Tribolium castaneum: one gene and its partner. The protein of the gene in region 2 interacts with the protein of the main gene of each other region in a biochemical or structural test. Links are inferred from orthologs where the notes say so. Each region holds a gene or a part of one and is shown on either strand. Other genes may lie near its edges. The genes, in order: baf and serine/threonine-protein kinase VRK1.

Evidence for each region.
Region 1: of the proteins of serine/threonine-protein kinase VRK1 (region 2) and baf, one has a biochemical effect on the other in vitro, tested with the Caenorhabditis elegans proteins (2 studies listed by BioGRID). The link is inferred for Tribolium castaneum from reciprocal best matches to the Caenorhabditis elegans genes vrk-1 and baf-1.

The regions. Positions count from the first base shown.
Region 1 is NC_087402.1:5,990,806-5,993,320, reverse strand, and holds baf (barrier-to-autointegration factor), read right to left. Parts: upstream 1,150-2,515; 5' UTR 1,061-1,149; coding exon 935-1,060; intron 882-934; coding exon 735-881; 3' UTR 616-734; downstream 1-615. Other genes in the region: Tpi (triosephosphate isomerase), read left to right, coding at 1-245, 294-570. UniProt on the Caenorhabditis elegans protein: DNA-binding protein which plays an essential role in nuclear envelope formation. Required for normal chromosome segregation during mitosis. Associates with the nuclear lamina via its interaction with LEM domain containing proteins emr-1 and lem-2.
Region 2 is NC_087395.1:23,675,515-23,679,419, reverse strand, and holds serine/threonine-protein kinase VRK1, read right to left. Parts: upstream 2,712-3,905; 5' UTR 2,552-2,711; coding exon 2,275-2,551; intron 2,225-2,274; coding exon 2,031-2,224; intron 1,986-2,030; coding exon 1,775-1,985; intron 1,732-1,774; coding exon 1,558-1,731; intron 1,508-1,557; coding exon 867-1,507; 3' UTR 816-866; downstream 1-815. Other genes in the region: syntenin-1, read left to right, coding at 3,194-3,385, 3,430-3,905. UniProt on the Caenorhabditis elegans protein: Serine/threonine kinase that phosphorylates baf-1, thus regulating the association of baf-1 with chromatin and nuclear membrane proteins during nuclear envelope formation. May act through the egl-17 signaling pathway.

The DNA of each region.
Region 1 (2,515 bases), on a different chromosome or scaffold from region 2:
GGCGAGATTTCCCCCGCGATGATCAAAGACATTGGCGTGAATTGGGTGATTCTGGGGCACTCAGAGCGTCGCCAGATTTTTGGCGAAACTGACGAACTTATCGCCGAAAAAGTGGCTCATGCCTTGGAGGCTGGCCTGAAAGTTATCGCCTGCATTGGGGAGACTTTGGAGGAACGGGAAGGGGGCAAGACTGAGGAGGTTGTCTTCAGACAGACTAAGGCTATTGCTGGGAAAATAAAAGACTGGTGATTCATATTGTGGGGAAAAGCCCAGTTCGTAATGAATTTTTTTAGGTCAAATGTTGTCGTTGCTTATGAGCCGGTGTGGGCCATAGGTACGGGAAAAACTGCCACTCCTCAGCAAGCACAAGAAGTGCACAAGGCTTTGAGACAATGGTTTTGCACAAACGTTAACGCGGACGTTGGAAATAGTATCAGAATTCAATACGGGGGCTCCGTAACTGGGGCCAACTGCAAAGAATTGGCTGCCCAACCTGATATTGACGGATTTTTAGTAGGGGGTGCGTCCCTCAAACCCGAATTCGTGAACATTGTAAACGCAAAGCAATAATTTTGTAATTAATTATTCGTGTAAGGGAGTAATAAAAGACTTGAGCCGTTTTTAATATAATTTTTGTGCTAAACTAAATTATTTCACTTATAAAAATATTTACATTAGTAAAGTATTATCTTATTTTAATAAAACGTGTTTAGCATCAAACTATACAAGCCACTTTACAAAAACTCCTCACACCAGTCTTTCAAACACTGCCAACAATCAGCCGATTGTTTTGAATTCGCCTGGCAAGTGTCTTTCATCCATTCTTGGAAAAGCTCTTGGTTTTTCTTCAATATCAAAAACTGGCCCAACACCACATACGCCTAAAACAGGAAAATGTTATGCAAAAAAGCGCAATGTAAAAACATAACCTCACCTTGTCAAATCCGGCAGACGAAAGACGTTTACCTAAAACTTCACCCACACCTGCTAATTCAGTCACGGGCTTGTCCCCCATGGGCTCAGCAATAAAATTGCGATGTTTTTGGGATGTACTCGACATTTTTTTAATAAAGAAATAAACTTTTGACTAGCAAAAGGACGTACTAAATGACAGAACGCGTTGGCGGGAGCTTTGCCACCGAATCAAAAATTCGGACGGATCATCATCTCGAAAAAGCACTTATTAATTGTTTACTAATAATTAATTAATGAGAAAACCACAAACAATTAAATCTTTGAATAGTTATTGAAATTCTGCTAATTTTTTAAATTTATTCGTTGATTTTTAAGCGAATTTTCGGTTCAACGCACAGTCGATAATTTTTTGTTGGCAGGATCACAGATTAGAGAAGTTAGCACCAGATCTGACACTCTTTTCCCGCGCGCTGTGAGGCTTGTTGACCTTGGACGTGCATATTATTGAATGATATTAGTTACATTTGCTGTAACGATAAAAATATTTTTATGGCTGAAACAATAAAGGTTTTTTTGAAAATATGAATCAGTGTCGTTATTTAACTCATTTCTAATGGTTTTTAATATAAAAAATATAAAACAGCTTCGACCATCAAAATTGTGATCAAATTTAAGATGGACTGAATTTTACCATATTTGTACTGGAAATTGTTTTAAACGCAACAGGGTTCATTTTCTTTGTTCTAGTAATGTAATTAAACACTTATAACACACTTTGTAATAATAATAATACAACAATTTTAAGGGTACGTAATAGATTTTACTATCATAGTAAACACGTAGTAAAAATTTAGGGGAATGAGTTGGCAATACTGATTAGTACCAACAATTACTTGAATAATTTATAATTAATAATTATAATTATAATTATAATTAATTATTCAAATTTCGAAAATTACCGGATTATGGTCGGAACTTAGTTGTGAAAGAGACTGAGGGTCGTTTTCCAATAAGAGATTCTTTGTAAGGATTAAGTCTATTACTCGCTTCGGCGGTACATATACTAAAATTGGAACGATACAGAGAAGGATTGAACGCGAATATCTTACCAAAACGTCTATAATGGATTTTCAGTCGTTTTCGGATTGAATACATTATATTGTCTATGCTAATTTTCTTATTAATTAAAAAAATGAAATTCGTTTTGCATGCTACGCACTAGTGTACAGAACAATTATTATGTCCAAATTAAGTTTATTTTTTAAGGGTAAGCACGCACGTAATACGCTGAATACGCTCAATCGTGCAGCGCCTAAAAATTTAATAACGAATAACGCATTTTGAGTTTTGAGCGTTTTTATTAAACAGAAGACGGTCGATGGTCGCTGACACATCGGCCTACTCGTTTAAAAAACGGATTTACTGTAAAATCAATTTTTTTTCCGTTATAGAAATTGTTCTTATAGTATATTAAGTATAGAGAACGGTAAGGGTTTGTTACTGTTCGACATGCTTATAACGTTTTTTGCACGATCGGAATCAGTATCAGTGTCAAAATTATAAATAAATAATTTTTAAATAAAATGAACGTATTGAGATT
Region 2 (3,905 bases):
AGCTTTCTGGAGGCTAATTATTGGAGTCAACTCTTTAATTCAAATCATAATCAATAATTTTAGTAAATTAGAGAGAAGATTTGGTCGATTTCTGGAAGTGGGATCGGAAAAAACAACTATTTGAATGCTGTGCTTTACTGATTAAATATACACACTGTTCAGAAATGATTGTTCGTCAATTTTTTTATGAAATGTGACGGTGACAGATCTGTCAAAATAATGCAAAAAGTCTTCGAACTAAAAACGAAAAATACACAACAGAAATCACGGAAATGCAAAAAATAAGCAAAAAGCTATTCAATTCGACAAAGCAGCTTATTGAATTTTAATCCACAGTGTGTCCATAGTCGTCTTGAACAATCATTCTTGAAAACAGGCTATGTGCTATTAAAACTTTTTAATTTCGAGTCAAAGGAAAGTGCAACGGTAATAATTATAGCTTGAGGAGGGTAATTATGAAGCCAATTCTTCAATATCTAATAACCACTTTGTTTGATGTTTGCAAGGACGTGGACGATTTTTTGCATTCTCTGAAGAACAGACGTTTTATTCATAAGTTTTTTGCACGACTTGAAAATCATTTCGTAAGTGAATAACAATGAGTATTCGCTATTTGATAACAAAAAATAAGTGTTTTTTCAAAATGTTAGACTGCTGTCAAATGCTCAAATAAGTGCTTCCCGTTGGTCACCAGTCGTCACGTGGTCGTGCTACCGCACTCTGATTGGTCATGTCACATTGCAATTTCCATGAGGTTAAATAAAATTGTATACGATATTAAAAAAATGATTATGGTTACAAATAATGGACCAAAGTTTACTTTTAAAATCTTTATTTTTATTAATTCGTAAAAAACAGTAAAGGTACTAAGTCTTCTTCCTCGGTTGTCTGGGAGTTCGCTCGTCGTAATTACAAGCCGGGAGATGGCGCCTAGGTCTTCCGTTCTCTCTCACTTCTTCACTTCTTCCTTTGTTAATCTTCTGTTTTATTTCGAGCATTTCGGCATTGTATACTTCGCCATCGCTATCATCACTACTGGCTTTCGTTTTCTTCTTTCGTGCCCCAAGATGACCATTTGTCTCTTCACTAGCTTTGTCTTTTTTCTTTCTTATTTCCATCATTCCGGCGTTGTCAACCTCACCATTTTTATCATCACTAGTTTTGGTTTTCTTTTTTTTGAGCGCATTTTTCTCCTTCTTGGCTAAGATTTCTTTCATGGCGGGTGTCATCACCTCTTCAGTCTTATTTTCTATCACTTCCTTCTGTTTCTTCTCCTTTTTTTTCGCCAGTTTCTTCACAGGTGTGACATTTTCATCATCTCCATCATCCAATCTATCCCCACATAAACTTCTTCTTTTTTTCACTGTCCCAAGGAAGTCAAAAGGACTGTCCACAGTTTTGCCATTCTTGCGAATTTCGTCCTCAAACAACGACCGAATTTTCTTATAATCAGGCACCTCATCAAACTTTAAACTATTAACGTATTGGAAATATTTGATTAAAGTTTCTAAAAAAACATAAAACAAAACAAACCAAACAACACAATTACACACTAACCGGATTTCTTGCCCAGGCACGTTTTAATAAACTTTGGGACGTCTTTTAAATTGTCTTCCTTCAACTGTTGGACGGTTTTGGGGTCGCTTAAGTGCGAGTCCCAGGGGAGGGTGCCCCCCAACCAATGAATTAAATTAAAGCCCAGAATTTCGAAATCGCCACGTCTGGTGGGCACTAGCAAGAAAATAAGATTGGAGCTACGCGAAAAAATAGTTACCCCCATGATGGGCGTCCCGGCTGGTGTACTCAATGGTGCCATCGTGGGCTTTTTTGGGGTTCGGTTTAAACTCCCGCTCTGTGCTAAACTTGGTCGCGAGACCAAAATCCACGAGGTAGACCTGGCTTTTATTGACCCCCAGAAGGACATTGCCCCCTTTTATGTCCCCATGGATGTACCCAAAGTCATGAATATATTCCAGAACGTAGGTCTACGAATAACTGTTACCACCCTGTTACGAAAAGTGAAAACGTACAATTTGCCACCCCATTTGAAAAACGGACGTGCTCGAAAGGGCCCCCTTGTCCCGCCTCAGTTGGTCAATATCAGCCCCGAATTTCTCCATGACAATAAACCGGTATTTGGAAGCCCCCATTTCGTGCGACCCTGACCCCAAATACGCCGGCATTCCGAACGTTTTCAATTTGTGCTTTTTCATAAAAGCCTCAACTACAACCCCAAATAACACAAAAAATATAAAAAAGGGGGAAAACACTTACTGTCGGCCTGTTTGGCGTTTTTCATGTAGAAGTGCATCTCGACGAAAAGGGGGCCGTTGCCGTGAGGCTCCACCTTCACAACGTAGGGGTATTTGGGGGACTTGGAGGAGGCCTCCTGAGCTGCGTAAATCTCCCCAAAGCCCCCTTTGCCGATGGACGGCCCCAACCTCCACTGGTTCTTCCCCACATCAACCAGGACTTCCCCTGCAGGCAGCGGCTCCGGCATTTTATAGCCGGTTGTTGCTTTTTTGCGAGGTTTTTTCACCGGTTTCGACATTTTGAGGTTAGAATCAAACGCCAAAAAACGAAGCGACACGAGCCACGCACACACGCAACACTTTTTGCACTTCCTTTAGAGCGAAACTAAACAACAAAAACGCGGTTTTAAATCCGAGATAACGAATTATGAAGAGATAACGAAAAACGCGCGAAAAAAAAACGGTGGTATGGCGGACGAAGGCACCAACTTAATAGCGCCACGGCTAAATTCCCTAAAGGCCGGGCGTTGTTGGCTGCCTAAGTGTCAATAAAATATTCAATTAGAACGCAATAATTGGGAATAAATTCGACTTTGAATGCGTTTGTTGCATTTGATCATTATTGTCTTATCACTATAAATCGTCGCGACCGCCAGATGTCGCCCAATTGAACAAAACACCATTCCGGAAATGTCAAACTGACAATCAACAATTGACTCGTGTTAGAACAGTTTTTTGAGCTGTGATGAATCATCAATGATAAATAAACCACTCAAGTGTGTGAAAAACAGTTAATTGAACTTAACTTTACCAGAAACCAGTACAGGTATGTATTGTCAGTGCCCCTGTCACTATAAATAACCCCCCAATTGTCAATTGTGTCATTCACTGATAACAGATATCAAGTTTCAATTCTAGAACTCGTGATTAATTGTGCGAAAATGTCGCTGTACCCTAGTCTCGAAGACATGAAAATCGACCAACTGTCGCGGGCTTTGAGTGGCCAGAGCCCCGCGACAGCCCCCCAGGTCAGCGCTTACCCGGCGCTGGGAGACTTCATGGGGCTCGAGCTGACCGAAGCCGTGATCAAGGAGAACATGCCAGAGTACCTGCAAGTGGCGGTGCCCCAATCGGTGAGTGCCCCCCTTAGCCCCACCCCCCTGACCGTGTTTTGCAGTCGGCGCCGATCGCCGTGGGGGCCACCAGCATGATCGCCCCCCTGTCGGGCCAGTCTTTGGGGCTGCACCGCGCGCAAGTCACCAACGGCGTGCGCCAGCTCACCCTCTGCAAAGACAAGGACGGCAAAGTGGGGCTGCGGGTCAAAGCGATCAACAACGGGGTTTTCGTCTGTCTGGTTGTTGATAACTCGCCGGCGGCGCTCGCGGGGCTCCGGTTTGGGGACCAGATCTTGCAAATAAACGGGGCCACAGTGGCCGGCTTTACAATGGATAAGGTCCATGAGATGTTCAAGAAAAGCCCAGTTAATGGGATTAACGTCGTTGTGAGGGACAGGCCCTTTGAACGCACCCTAACTTTGCATAAAGACAGTGCGGGAACTGTCGGTTTTCAGTTCAAGAACGGGAAAATTACCACGATTATTAAGGATTCGTCGGCGGCGCGAAATGGGGTTTTGACCGATCACCAGCTGCTGGA